2 linked regions of the Lytechinus pictus genome follow. The protein of the gene in region 1 interacts with the protein of each later gene in a biochemical or structural test. Links are inferred from orthologs where the notes say so. Each region holds a gene or a part of one and is shown on either strand. Other genes may lie near its edges.

Region 1 (8,241 bases):
TCTAGAGGTAGATTAAACTTGTACATGTACATACTAGAAATACATGTATGGCATGGGTACAAATCCTGTTCTTGTAATGACTGGTGGCTATTATTTTTCAGTTATGATAAATTGATAATACTGTTTTATTCTATTGATATTGGTCCTGCCAATACTTAATTTCAACAATATAACAAGAAACTTGACTAGATATTCACTTAGTCTGGCCAAGAAGATTCTATGACTGGAGTTGCAACAGGCAACAAATTTATTCAAGCAGCTGTTCATTTCTAAGGAAGCACAAAAGAAAGAACGGCAATAAGGACCTTTTGATGTCCGCCTTCGAAGCCGCCATTTTCAGTGAAGAAATCCAAGGGGTGAAATTTTACGAATATCCATTTGTATCAATTTTCCATCTTTCATATTAATAAACAAACTGAAATTTGAATGCATGACAAAACATCAATAACCAAGCACTAATACAATGAGATATTTTCCCAGATTATATCAATTAACCTTTAATTAGTAAAAAAAAAAAGAATTTGACCTTTACTGAAACCAGATTTTAACACTTTTCCGATCGTTTGCGGCGAATGAAAATTTGAAAAAATGAAAAAATGTGGTCGGTGAAATATTGTTGTTCATTACTGTATAAATGCCAGATGAGTGCCCGCACATGCCCAGTCGAGCAAATTTGAGTCATATTTCAGGACATATTGCATAGTTTATTTCCGCATGCCTCCGAATTATGTACTACACATATAACCAGAACAAGATGCGGCGAAAAAGTAATTATCATCACAAAAGCATACTACCCCTTTATGTATGACCTATAGCTGCAGAGTCATGCGGGAATCATTTGTCTACACAATTGCAAGAGATGTTGAGCAAAGTGCATGCCTGACATACTTTCTGCTGGCGGTTTTTAACCTTGTTCAAAGAGATTTTATTTGCTGTTACTCCATCTCATTTGAAACCTCCTTGGTCTGGCAGAGTGGCAGACTAAATTGCAGCTGCCTGCTGGGCATATTTGTCCTGACCAACCAAAAATTGTTGAATACGTTAAATCAAAATTATGGAAACAAAACAAGTCAAAAGTTTATAAGAGAAAACTTATCTACACTCAGTTCAGACTGCTCATGATGGATACATGTAATTGGTCCATACAAAGTTCGAGCAAAACAGTAATGCAATTACCCAGCCCAAATGTATACATCACCTACTAAATCATGTGTAGTCTAGGCCAGGCCTAGGCTAAGGCTAAGCCCTAAAAGTAGTTCTTATCCATGAATACTCTTTTCAATAGCCTTGATTTTAAAAAAGTAAAATCTACACTAATTATAGTATACTAAAAGTTAAAATTAAAGTTCACAATTGGCATGATTGGTTAACAGTAACACACCAAACATGCCAAAGCAGGGTGCTCATTATGCACGTTTTAAGTAAAACCTGCAAAAAATCTTTACAATTACACAAGTTCAAGATTGATTGAATGAAGGACTCAAGGAGGCAAGAGAACCCACAATTTAGTAGAAGAATCAAGTACTGAAGTAGATCTAGATTCTAGATCTAACGTCAATCGTTTGATCTACATGTAGATCTATCCTACTATAGATAGTATAGTACTAAAGTTAGTTTTGCCTCTGCAAATGCATTGCAAGCTAACAACAGTCAACAGTAACAATAACATGGACACATTGATTGACTACACTGCACTGTGCGTGTGCATATATGCATGAACATGTAAAGAAACCAAACACTGAAACAGTATGGCAGTGAGTCCAAACTTCGCGCGTGTCCATACTTCGCGGACGGTCATTATCTCAAAAACTAGCCAATATCCTTAAAATCTGACTTCATCAACGTGAAAAGCGACCTAAAATTACCCTTTTGTGTAAGTTACTTTAAGATGAGTTCAGTATTCATGAAAATATTGGCAAAAGATCGGCAAATTTGTCACCGTTGGCGCCCGTTTTGAAGAATTCTGATATTCTCAACAAGCATCACGATATCACCATTTCGCAAGCAGAAATCATCAAAAATGTGAGTTAAATTTGGTACTAACCTATTCTATAGCATTTTGCCATCAATCTGATATAAATATTTCACTTTTTGAGCTTGAGTTTTTGTTTAAATGTCCACAAAAACTTTGGTCCGCGAAGTTAGGTCACACTTTTTCTGAACGCTTTTCCAGCACAGCGCGCATTCGCCGATCGGAATAGAATTTTGAGATCGCGATACCGGCGAATCCCTTTGACCTTCTTTATATTTTCGTCCATGATTTTATAGTTTACGATCTTGCCGTCAATGTGGTAACTATTTCTTGAATTGGTTTTGTATAAATTACGAATATTTTGTGAAAAGATTTAAGCCCGATGAATATTTTTGAAAAGTGCGCGAAGTTTGGACACCCCATCATACACATCGCATCAGGACTTAGTTTTACTTTTACTAGTTTTAGTCTACAAAATTAACATTAATTTTATTTAGAGGACGGTCAGGTGTCTTACTTTAAGTTTAAGTTTAATAAAGTTTAAATTTAGCAGACTGATGTTGATCTATCATCAGTATCATACTATAGTCATAATATTATTACTTACTCATAATCTCTGAAGATTTCATTTGTAAGTCGACACAGGAAAACTTCCTCTGTTGGTTTCAGATCTTTTGGTAATTTCACAGGTCGAAATTCTCGACGACGAAGCAATGGCATTTTGCTTTAGACCTGGCGTGAACATCCAAACCACAGACAGTATACCGCCTTACCGGTACTCACGATCTGTACGAGAGAGAGCACACGATCAGAATGAATTGAACAATGGCAAGCCGACTATTTCGCAACACGAAGCCGGAATTCACGAAAACAACTTGCAAGAATCATCTTGATAACACTCACAAAATTGTAAAAATAACAAACAATGTCTAATTTACCTTACCATATGCACTGTTCAACTGGAGTACGGTATGCGCTCTCGAGTATAAAAAACGGAATAATAGAAGTTTCCCAGTCAGTACTTCAAGTACTCCAGCGAAAAGTCTGGGAAATAGCTCTTCAAATGATCGAGGGCGCGCTTCGTCGACGATTCGACTACTACTGCACTGGCATGATATGGGTCATGGATAAATGGCGCTCGATCTGTTCATGCAGCGCGCGCTATCTCGAGCAGCGTTAGCGAATTTGCACCTCAATACGATCATGGAGCTATGTATTATCTGTACCGGTATAATGCAGTGGATGGAGCAGAAACTAACATGGCCCTCTCGAGGGCCTACGAGCTCCCGATGCAACCAGTGGCGTAACTACGTGCCACTCCCACCCCCCCCCCCCCTTTTACTGGTAAAAAATAAGGGGAGAGAGAATCAAAATGGGAAAATTTAGAATTTGATTAATCGTAATTTGCTTTGATATGGGCCTATACGCATAGGCGGATCCGGGGGAGGGCCGAGGGGCCCGGCCGGGCCCCCCCCCCTATTGGTGGAGCCCTGTGGTGGAGCAAAAAAAAGAAAAAAGGGGGAAAGAAAGAAAAAAGAAAAAGAAGAGAAAAGAGAGGAGAAAAAAGACGGGGAAACATAAGAGGAGGAAGACGAGTGAATAAAATGAGATGAGGGGAAGACTTAAAAAATTATCAAAAAAATATTTCATGTCACTATATAAAATTTTCGCTCGCGCTTCGCGTTCGCATTGCCTTTTAGGTGATTTACATATCTTGCTCAATATGGAGCTTCAAATATCAAATTTTGAAGTCAATATACAAAACATATTTCATCTCGGAAATCGAACTTTCATTATTTTGTTTGATTTACAAATTGATTTTTTAAAGTGCTCTGTAAAAATTTATGTTTTATGGTCTGAATATTTTATGGTCTGAACATTTTATGCTCGCGCTGCGCGCTCGCAAAACTTGATTTGTAAGATACCTATTATTTTCCTGTATTCCATAAAGTTCTCAAAATATCCCTATTCAGGTCAAATTGTCAAAGTGTATCAGCTAAAGCTGCACGCTCGCATTTTGATTGGTTAGTTATGTTTATCTAAATTTTAATTCTAAACAAACTACTTAAAATCCCCATTTCATGACAGTTCATCAAAAATTTCCGCTCGCATTTATTGTTGAAAAGATATTAACTCATGCATCTTATTCATAATTACTAAAATACTTTAAATGTTCAGTTTTCAGGCCATGATATCAGCAGATTTTGCGCTCTCATTAGGCTTATTAAATTAATGAATAAGATATCAATTCAATAATCTAATTGTCCCTTTTTCAGAATGTAATATCGACAAGTTAAATTTCGCTTAGGAAGAGAAATAGGAAGATAATGTCCTTATAGAATGTCCCGGTCCTATTTCAGAATTCAAAGTAATAATAATGAAACATATCAGCTCTTTTTTCTAACTGTGATCCATTTCCACCTCGCAACAGAGCTTAAATCGACACTTTTTCCGATCGGAATATCAAATATTTCAAGCCCGCGCTTCGCGCTCGCTTTATTGATTTTCATGATAAAAAAGTTATTTAGAATACCCAAACTCCGATACGCATCTTGTTCTCTATATAAATCATTATCCAGTTTCAGATCACAAATTATCAAAAAATTTATTATTAATGTAGGAAAATTTCCACTTACACATCCTTTCCATGATTTACAAAACCTGAATAGAGTGTCCCATTTTTAGGTGTAAATCTCAGATTTTTTCCGCTCGCGCTTCAAGCTCGCATCAATTATTTAGTTACTTATCCTTTTCATGATTACAAAAAATGCTTAGAATTTCCATTCTTCAGGTAGAAATGTCAAAATTTGAAGCTCGCGCTTCGCGCTCGTATTGTTTGATAGTTGAAATATAAAACGTCTTCATGGCTAACAAACAGCCGTTAACAGATCCTTTTTTTATCAGATCAAAACGTATATTTAAAAAAAAATTCTACTCGCGCTTTGCGCTTGCATTATTAATAAAGATTTCCAATTACTCATCCTTTTCATGATTTATAGAGTGTCCCATTTTTAGGTGTAAATCTCGATTTCTCCGCTCGCGCTTTGCGCTCGCATCAATTATTTAGTTACTTATCCTTTTCATGATTACAAAAAGTGCTTAGAATTTCCATTCTTCAGGTAGAAATTTCAAAATTTTCAGCTCGCGCTTCGCGCTCGCATTGTTTAATAATTGGAATATGTAACGTCTTCATGGCTAACAAGCAGCCGTTACTAGATCCGTTTCTGATCATATCAAAACGTATATAAAAATTTCTGCTCGCGCTTCGCGCTCACAGTAAGATTTAGTTGGATACACATCTCGTTTAGAATCACAAACATTGCCCACAATGTTTAAATTTTAGGACAAAATACATGAAATAAAAAAGCTCGCGCTTCGCGCTCGCACTTTTTCAATAAACGAGTAAAGGGAGAAAAAAAAGGGAAAAGGAAAAAAAAGAAAAGAAAACTGAAAAAGGGAAAGGTGAAAAGAAAACTATTAAATAAAAACATTTTTTTTAAGGAAAACGGAAGGACAGCGGCAAAAGGAAGGAAAGGAGAACAGGTCCCGGAAGGAACAGGTGGGAAAGAACAAACCATCCCGAAATACTAATGCATTAGCATGATCATATGAAAAAAGATGACGAAAATGGCAAACAAAAGTGGAAAATGAAGGTAGAATGGAATGGTATGAGCCAAAAACTAAATTGGAAAATGAAGAAAAGAGACCGTCAAGAAAAAAAAAGAGAACTTAATAACACGATTGGGCTGCCGAGGATTGAAAATAAAGAACGGGAAGAAAGATGGACGGCATATAACATTGTGTATGGAGTCTATCATAGCTCAATTTTATGCAATAATGGTCGCAATTGGTCGCAATCACCAGGCGCGGATCCAAGGGGGCCGAGCTGGCCCCGCCAGCCCCAGCCCCCCCCCCCCCCCCGGCCCAGCTATAGCAAGCTGACGTGAGCCAATGTCGACCAATATCGACCAATATCTGCCAATGTCCGTGGCCGAGTGGTCTAAGGCAGGGGCGTCGATCCATTTTTCAGATTGGGGGGGGGCAAAATCATGAATCAACGTTCCAAAGGCGCTCAATCACACAACCCACCCACACAGGCCTATATATAAATAAATATGTATGTTAGCATGTATGTATATATATATATATGTAAATGTATATATATATATATAAAATTGTGATGAGCAAGGACCTAAACATTGCGTGGGTGCTTCAGTGAGTAATATATTGGCGAAGAAGCTAAAAATACAATGAAGCTAGAGACGTAGCCTGGATTTCTTCAACTTTTATTATTGATTTTAATAGCTATTGGATAATCCTAATTAAACATTACCGATGTAAAACATTTTCTTTTAAGATATACCTATATTTAGTAAATTAATCAAAATATATGCATGGTAATTGTAAAGCCATTATGTATTTTACATCTTCAGATACCTGAAGAAGGCCCAACTAAATGGCCGAAAGCTTGTACTAATAAAAGTTGAAGAAATCCAGGCTACGTCTCTAGCTTCAATGCTTTTTGAGCTTCTTCGCCAATATATATATATATGTATATACACTGTTGGTCATAAAGGTAGAATATTTTCTTTCACCAAATTTTCACAGCGTAATTATTACAACATGATTCGAATATGGCATTTATGGTGCATGATAACCACTTTACTTTATTATTCTGCCTTTTACACACGTTTGACAGTGATATTTTTCAAGTTTATGTCCTAAGCGATGGATGTCATGATCATAGAACAACAATGACGACAATATACAGTAAATTAAAGGATCATGAGATATTTAATTTCAATCTCTCTCAGTTTTCCAGATGACTTCTTTTTTGTGATGTCATGGACAAATTTGCATCAAACTTGAGTCATTGTTCTTACTCAGTCACTAGTATCGGGTATGTCCACCCCTGGCACGAACCCGCACGAACCAGCGCATGCAGACGTCGTGGCATGCTGTCCACTAGCTTGTTGATGACATCAACAGGCATAGCGTCCCATTCTTCCCTCAGAGCATCTGCCAACTCCTGCAGATTTTGGGGAATGACCTCTCTGTCGTTGATGGCTCGGCCTAGGGCATCCCATGCATGCTCTATGGGGTTCATATCCGATGAACAAGCTGGCCATGGCTAGTGTCCCTGTATAGAACACTAGCCATGGCAACTGTACGACGCCCTCTGCCTCCAGGAATTCCCTTACTGCAGCGGCCCTGTGTGGTCGATTAGCGTTAATTGTCATCCTGCAGTCGGAAATTGTGCCCATACACTCGTCTTGCATATGGAAGACAATGGAACTCCAAGATATATCCCTGTAGGCGGCGGCGTTGACGTTTCCGTCCGGAACGTACCACCAGTGGCGTTTTCCCTCCATATCGATGCCGGCCCATATCATCACTGAGCCGCCTCCGCCTTGAGTCATCTCGTGGATACATTCATCGCAAAGGTTTTCCCCGGCTAATCGACGAACTCGTTGTCTCCCATCCTTTCGGTCAAGGATGAACCGGCTCTCGTCCGTAAAGACCACATGTTGCCAATGTTCTGGATGAAGCCTTCTGTGCTCTCCCTAGCCCAAAGAAGACGAGCTACTCTGTGGAGAACAGACAGGCGTGGATATTTGGTCAACCGTCGTGCTCGGTAACCATGTTGGAGCAATCTGCGATTAACGGTTGACCGGGAAACGTTGATCCCATGATATCTCCTCCACAAGCGACGAAGACGGCTCGTGGGCAATTTCCGGTTTCTGCGGCTGAAATTCAACAGTTGGCGATCATCTCTTCTTGTGGTCAATCTGGGACGTCCTGGAGATTTCCGTGGCCGCACATTCCCCGCCTCACGTTGACGTTTCAGGGTCTTAGAGACTGCACTCTGTGATATATCCCTAGGACTTCTGCGATATCAGTCTGCTTGTTGCCCTCCTGTCGCAGTGCTACCACTCTCTCGCGTGTTGCTGTTGCCGTTGGACCAGGCATAGTCCAGGGAACGTCTCTACGGATTTTTATTTCAAACGCGGTACAAGGCCGGAACTCGAAAAAATGCAACCTTCTTATATACAGTGCTAAATCAGGGAAAGGGACAGAATACCATATGCATAGGCTTTTATAGTCTACAACAAAAGAATTTATTACGTAATCCAAATTTCTCATGTTATGTCACCTGTGTAATGGGGAAACATTATGTAATCACTCAATTACCATTTTGTCTACGCGTAGCCTTTCAAATACCAACAAAACTGTCGATTTTTATTCAAAAATATTTTATTCCACCTTTA
Region 2 (8,155 bases), on another chromosome or scaffold:
AGAAATGATTTCTAAGTATTATCCATTCCGAACGAATTGTCGACCATCGAGTATCAATCACCACCGCGCATGCGCATTCGGGGATTGCCAATTCGGGGCGGAGATTTTACATCGCGCATAAACGCTTCTCGCGGCATGGTGACGAAGCGTAAGTGCGCATCATTTGTGAATGAGATTGGTCATTTTCGCGGCGCTCATAAATATGCATGTGCGTTCATGATACGCATATATCGGAGTATTTTGTTGTTTTGCATGCAAGGCACAGTGTGCAAGACGATTGATTTGAGACTTGAAGTTAATTTCACATGTTTTAACTAGATTATCTGAATTACAGTGCACAATTACGACATGGAAGACCATTGGGATGGATTTCAAATATAATATGTAAGTGAGTTGATAACATTTGGTTTTGCATCTTTCTTTTTTCAAGTTGTTTTGAGATCGAGAATTTTTTCTTTCATTTTAATCATCATTTCTTGTTTCTTGTCTGTCCACCGCAATTTTTTGTAGTCCTATGTTAAATGTTCCCCTTCAGTACACTGATGCCTGAAAGTATGAATCCGAAAAATGCACCCCCCCCCCCGCGTTCATCCTTTCTCTCGATCCCTAACAATAACATTAAAAAGGATAATAACATAAGCTGATACTAGATAGAGTTTTGACAAGTTATTAAAGTCGTTTTTTTTTTTTTTTTGGAGAGGCGGGGTGGGGGGGGGGTGATGTAATTCCCATTCCCCCCCCCCTCATTTTTTGTTTTTATTCGTGACTTGATATCCTTGCCTTTACGTGATTTCCTATGCATGCTCAATCCTTGAAACTTTACATAATTTTAAAATATTTTTACAGATCCATAGTACACCATACAGAACTTTTTTTAAAGGAGCTAGTCTCAAGTTTGTCTCTCTGTTTTGTTTCCTTTTCTGTGAGTTCCTTTCTTCTCATTTTGTTCCTCTCCTGTACTAACTTTACAACCATTTGCTTTTGTTTTTGCTCCTCTAGCCTCACTTTTTTCCCAATTTCATTGCATTCATTATTTTGTTTTCTCTTTCATCTACAGGAAATTTTTGTAGCCAGGAGGCTGTATCATTTGATGAAAACATCAGTTTGGATTCGACCTTACCACAGAAATGTTAGGGGCCCTATGAAGCATTGCATCCGCTCTGCCAAACTGCCTCTCACCAGAGATATTTGTAGAACTACACGATGCACTTTCTGCAGCAAGATCCAGCTAAAGTTGTGATGAACTAGCATATAATAGATTTCTTATATTCATAACATTCATCATTCCAGTTCTTAATTGATATTTCAAAAGTTTAATAAATCACTTTACATGCATTTAATATATTTCTTATATTCATATCATTCATCATTCCAGTTCTTAATTGATATTTCAAAAGTTTAATAAATCACTTTACATGCACCATATTGAGCTGTACACTGAATCTTGCCTCATAAGATCATTTGGCTTCAGCTCTACATAATACCCCCCCCCCCCCAGCAATAAAAAATGAAAATCTAATAAAACAATAGAGCTGCAGGCAGTAGCGTACCTAGGATTTTCCACAGGGGGGGGGGGGGGGCAAAATCGTCCGCCCAAAAATTTGACAAGCAAAAAAGTCTTCAACCACAAATAAAGGATTTCGTACTTTCGGTCTTAAACTTCAAAGGAGGGGGCCACCGGTGGCTCATCAGGGGGGGAGGGCAGGGATACGTCCCTTGCATGGGTTGTGACTCGTCGGGGGGGCAGTCTGCCCCCCCCCCCCATAGGTACGCTAGTGGCTGCAGGTCCACCCACCCACCTGTATCAACCATTACCTCCAATGAGAATACCTAATTTTAAATTTTATTGAGCAACTTCATTAATACTGTTAAAATATCCAATTTATATTTTTATGTGGAGTTAATTAATGTAACCAATGCCAACAAGGAAAAAAAATAAAATGAATACTTTCATGTGTCAGTGTGGATTTGTCATTTCTTTTTAAAATTTATTTTAATATTCAGATCTGTATGTGTATCCTTTTTCAACACTATGTTCCTTCTCTTCTCTACTGCATGTGCCAAATTGTTTGTTTTTTTGCTCATACTTCTTAAATAAATCATGAAAAAATTACATAAAGTCTAAATAAAAATATTTAAACAGACATACAAGAAAAAAAGTGTTAGTTTGGGGCGATAGAAAATGTTAGAAGACAGTTGGGGGGGGGGTGAGATAAATCAATTGTTTCTTTCTTGTCAATTTAAAAGCTGCAATTCATATTTGTGAATAATTAAGTAGTTGGTAGAACAATTCCTGCTTAAAGTTGCAGTCTGAATGGAATGCAGGATCGCCAAGAACAAAGCCCAGAGGCAGAGGTGGGGTTGGTTTTTTTAAGGCGGCATTTCCATCACGCTTTCTTGGAACCACAGATATTCGACGGCTCATGCAGCCCAAGTCTGTTCATTGTTGGGCCCCTCGACTTCAGATCAGTAAGTATTGCCATGCTCAAATGGAGGTAAGAAATTAATCTGAATGAAAATAAAAAAATGAAAACAAAAGAAAATTAAAATGATAATGAATTAAATTAGATCTAGGCCATTCATTTTTAAAATAATAAAAAATTTAAGTTTTATTAGGCCAAAAGAAATCATGTTACATGAATTTTCAACAGAATATAATCATCAAATAATAAATCAAGACTAAAGTAAAGGCTAAAATTAGGTTCGAGAAGATTCAGAAAGTTGTTGCGTCATTTGCCATTTTTTTTCAATATTTTATTCAATCAAAATGAATGTGTCAGTGTGGGATGTATTTCTGATTTCTACATTTGTGTCTGGTTTTCAATTCCTAATTTATAAAAAAGAAAAAGTTTTTTTAAATCAAAGAAATACCAGACATATCACGGTAGACGGTCTGCTACACAAATTCCAATGCGCAGGACTACACACCGCGGGCAACCAAAAACCCTAGCAGCCGCCATAAATTAGCCCGCGAAACGCGTCGCCAAACTTCCCACGAAAATCCCACGAAACAAATAGCAAGGGCGTTTAACATTCGTCCGTGGCAAATGGTGGCAAGAAATGCTGCCATGAATGAGGTAAGAAATGAAAGCTTACGACTTCAATTTTCGAGTAGCATATGTATTTTTAGCGTAATATGTCTGATAATTCCATGAAAATAACATATAATGATGATTTGATGCATAAACTGTACTTACAGACTGTTTTAGTGCAATTTTTGTTCCGATCTCGACCCTCCGTCGCAAGAGCTTACCGTGCAGTATAGCTGAATGCATTGGGAAGATGATGTCATCGTTTTCATTCCCATTGATATACGTTTACCATCCTAGACAGGAGACTCAAGTAGGGCTTGCCGTTATTGCTCGCACCGGCTCCCGAAGCAGCTTGTCGCCATTTTCGTACGCGAAAATGATGACGCGAAAATCGCGCCCTCTCGCGCTAGAGTAGCGTACCTATCTAAGAATCAGAAAAAAATTGACGTCTCCTATCAGTACTATCATCATGACTTGAGATGACATTGTTCGCTTAGCTGTAACAGCTACAGTACTCTCCAACAACGGCAACATCAAACTCTCAATTTCATCAATGTCAACAACATCTTGTTATCAGATTCAGTCATCACAATTCTTTTGTTCAGTGTTTATCATGTCAAAACATACATTACACCCAAACCAATACATGGGACCGACCAAGACAAATGAATGAAAATGACGACGGGTAATAAAACGCCGCTAAGTTCAAGACCAAATAAAACAAACTTAAACCGACAAAATTAAACAATAATAGCATCATCATGGTTAACAATTACTTACCGGGTTCCCAAGGGGTGAAGGGGTGTCTTCTCTCTCCTCTAAATCAGCCATTTTTGCACGAAATTAAGGGTACTCGCGTGCAAATTGCAAAGGGAAACCACCAGATGACCTGCAAATGAGCGCGCGCAATTCAACGATAAACAAAAGTATCGTTTGGTAAGTATCGCGATCAGTCAGAATGTCAGTGGGAGAGAGAGATAGGGTTGCAGGAGAAAAATAATATTTACAAAGTCATCCAAAGGATTTTTTTATTGCTCGGCATGTCTTCAGTGTTGTATGAAAATTCTCACAACATAACAAATTGGCAGAGTAATTAAATGTTGTTGTGTTAATTTGCACCCTTTTCACTTTTCAGGGGATTTTTGTGGGGGGGGGGGGCACTCGACTAAAAAGTGGTAGGGGTGTGCCGCGGGCGAGACAAAAAACGGGGGCCTTGGAGCGTGCTAATTGTAAATAGGAGGGTCCTCAGAACGGGCTTCGGAACTATACGGGGGGGGGGGGGCGTTGTACATGTCTACTAAGATTTGGTTTGGAGGGTGATTTAAGGGTAATTTTGGCAAAAAAGTGTACCCAATATTAAGAATTTTCTCCCAATCGAGAAAAAGAGAAATTACTCAAGATCGAAGGAAGGGGGGTTGTTCATTGAATGATTTTAGAGCGGCACATTCCCGTATGCCGAGTATAATATCTGCTGTTCAATTGTGATAAGCAGTCATCTCCTATGAATTCCATTTAAAGCAGCGCTGACAAATCTATCACACCAAGATAACCACAAAATAAGAATTATCAATTAAATAAGCATCAATATTCACACCTGAATGTTTTCGCATTAAAACCCAAATAAACAACCTGACAACAACAACAACATGCATGCTCTGAAAATTTATAATGACATTTTCGGGGGAGCTATACTCTCATATTGACGTCACAAATATCTAAATGTTGAAATGTGAAATTGGCTATACGGTTATTGGTCTTACAGAACTGGCTTAGTTAAAAAAAAATGAATAGTTTTTTTTTCTTCAAAATTCCTTCCATGGATGCATTCAAGCATCCCTCTATGCTTGACATGGACTAATAATTATTGATTATGTGTTCTACTATTGCTCAATAATGATGCCCATGGCCATGGGATCATTATAGTCAATAATTCTATAATGCCTCTGAAGTTCCGACTTTGCAATTGTTATAATTTCACAGTGCATTATCTGATTGGTTAGCATAACATGAACGTGACAAGTTAAGTTTTTACTGGTTTATGTTGATGTAATTTTTTTTTGAATAATTGTTTTGTTTAACATAATTATTTTCGATAATACCGTCAGATCAGGGGAGCGTTTCATCAATATTTTTGTCTGACAAGTTGTCAGATCTGACATCTTTCCTTTATTCTGATTGGCTGACAAGCACTGCACCTATGGTAACTGTCGGATAAAATGGGACTTGGATAAAACGTCAGACATGTCCTTTCATGAAACACTCCCCTGGTCCATGATGTTCATTTTTTTCCTATTTAGCTCAACACATGCATGGTTTTCAATAAATGATATAAATGCTTGTATGTATATGCCTATAAAGGACAGCTAGAGGAATGGGTAAGTGTGGGCGGTGAGTTTATTTTTTATCGGAATTATTTTATTGCAATAAAAGATGTCATGTTATTATGCAATGTCTCCAGGAACTATTTTAAATTGATATATTCATACTGCAATGTGATGGGGTTATATTTTAGATATATATATATATTTTGCTCAACCCTCATGTGTGCATGTAGGAATAATATATGGCATTTTGTGACTTATAACCATATTGTATAACCTGTTTATAGAAACAACTGATGACATGGAAATTGGAATTAATGCAGTACTTAAGTCATTTTTTTATCAATATGTATTTACAAATGTATTTTTATCACTTGTGTTCCACAGCGAGGCTGTTGGTTTTCTTGGAATAAACTCTGATACCACATACCAGTCTGGATTTTGCCTTCTTTCACAAGAAATTCATAGCTCTTTTTATTCCTTGAAGGATCATCATAAAATTTTTTTTTATAGGAGTGCCGATATTTTTCTGCAATATTTTTGTCTGCTTTTACATCAAACCCAATGTAAACTGGTTGTCATCAGGGTAAACTTCTCTGTGGTGGGTTTGCAATTAGTTACATGCAATTTTTTTTATATGCAAATTCATCTTCACTCAACTTTGCAATGACGGTATAGGCCTATTTCTTCCCATATCCCTCCAAATTAGGAGGTCATCGGAGGTCACCTAGAAATCAGCATCGCCACCAATCACCAATGAAGAATTCTCACCTTTCATTCAATCAGTGAGCGGCAACTCAGCTTTGACGGCATGCCCATGCATTGGCCGATGCATGTACAAAAAAATCTGGTTTTTTTTAATGACACTAAAGAAAATTGTCACAGTTAAGACTGAGAAAAGGGATCTCATTCCGAAAAGATAACACTTTGACCACAGTCACCAAAAGAAAAAAATACTGAAAATTACCCTTTATTCTTACCCCCTAAAATAACATTAGCAACGAGAATAATACTTCCCTTGCTTATTTCCGGAATCCGTCAAAAAGAATCCTTATTTTGGCTCACCAAAGCCTGGTACGACATCGTTTACCCTCCTCTTGATCTGTGCCTGACTGCAGTCTAGCTTTTTTTTTTTCCAAAGCCTTCAACTTTTCATTTAAAAACAAAAATTTTGCCCTTATAAAAATGCGACTACCGAAAGTGGCGGTCTTAGGTGCCTATATTGTTCAGAACCAAATACTAGTAGGTCCTTGGTCAAAGCATGGACCTATTACGACCCATGGTCAAAGTATCGAAAATCGCAATCGAATGTAAAAACCGCTATCGATTGTGAACAGCGCCATCTCTTGTTATCCTACACAAAGAAAACTCGCAGTTTACTTTTTCATGTAAATTACTACAGTACACGCAGCGCACTGCATGTCCATATAGGCCAACTCATGCAGCAAAACAAAGAATTCTAAAAGTTATTTTTGATGATTAAGGGTCATTCTTTCCGGATTGATCCTTATTTATTGCCCTCATTCAAAAGCCAAAGATTTCTTTTTCATTGTCAATATCTCTTTGGTCTAGGCACATTTTAGCACTATAATTTTCTTCACGGTGAAAGTTGTTTTGTATCAATTAACTTTCCGTGTTCTGATGGCCGTCATATAAAATCCGCCAATCCGCCCTCTCCTTCTCACCCTCTCCCCTGTCGGAATTTCTTTCTTTCTTTCTCTCTCTCTCTCTCTCCCTCTCACATGTCTCTCAGCTCTCTTTCCTTCTCTCTATTTTCCCTTCTCTCACATCTCCGAACCCGGCCATCCCGGCAACCCATCACTTTGATCCCATCCTGATCCACCCCCCCCCCCCTGGAGAACAACAACAACAACAACAAAAACGGTACAGGAAAGGGGTGAAATGTGATATTAATTGTTCAATATGTCACACTCTATCACAAATTGGATGTTCATTTTAAAGAGGCTATTTTTTTCCACATTATGCCCCCATCAAGTCTGTTTTGGCTCACATTCGCGGCCACTGCAGAAACAAAATGAAGAAACCAATATTTAAAAAATATACACACTCACACACACAAAGAAAACAATAAAATCACATGTACATCAAATTCATTTATTTTTTTAATAAGAAACTTACACTTATTCTTAACCATATACGATCTTCCCGTACCTGCTTACAGAGTAACAATTATTTCATTCGATACAAATTCCCCCACACGTTCAACGCCGTTTACATCATATTGGAAGACTACACAATCATGTTGGATAAACTTTAATCGACCGTTAAAAACCCGTTTTGTTTAATGAAATTGTTTAAATGCAGCATATAGTTGCTATGTCATATTTTACATTTTTGTATGGGCTAATATTCTCATTGCATTTTGCTTTCCCCCATAATCGGTTTATTTCATAATTCATTTATTTATTCATCGATTCACTACGTCTTTTTCATGTCATCGTGACTTCGTCAGTGGTCTTATTGCGCTGCTTTAACATGATGAAGTTCCCTGAATGATTTATAATAACAAAATACGAACATTTAAAACAAAGTAAACAAAACTAAGAAGGATACTTTCCGAGTTTAGGTTAACCACTTAAAATTCAATAAGTTCTCCTCTCAATCATCAAGGGAAAAAAGCCTTTCGAAAAGTTTTCTCTAAAAAGAAACAAATTTCAAAACAATGCATGATTTACGTTTCGTAAAAAAAAGTATCGTATAGGACAGCAGTTTAAATAAAAGATTTCAGAAAAGATTCAATGTTTCATACCTTATTTTTGATAAAAAGTAATATATTTCAGA

Evidence for each region. The genes of interacting proteins can lie anywhere in the genome.
Region 2: the proteins of bromodomain adjacent to zinc finger domain protein 1A-like (region 1) and SWI/SNF-related matrix-associated actin-dependent regulator of chromatin subfamily A member 5-like form a complex in vitro, tested with the Drosophila melanogaster proteins (3 studies listed by BioGRID). The link is inferred for Lytechinus pictus from reciprocal best matches to the Drosophila melanogaster genes Acf and Iswi.

The regions. Positions count from the first base shown.
Region 1 is NC_087251.1:554,883-563,123, forward strand, and holds the start of bromodomain adjacent to zinc finger domain protein 1A-like, read right to left. Parts: upstream 3,197-8,241; 5' UTR 2,916-3,196; exon of another isoform or gene 2,911-2,915; intron 2,759-2,910; 5' UTR 2,693-2,758; coding exon 2,580-2,692; intron 1-2,579.
Region 2 is NC_087249.1:49,687,353-49,695,507, reverse strand, and holds the start of SWI/SNF-related matrix-associated actin-dependent regulator of chromatin subfamily A member 5-like, read right to left. Parts: upstream 3,329-8,155; 5' UTR 3,276-3,328; coding exon 3,198-3,275; intron 1-3,197.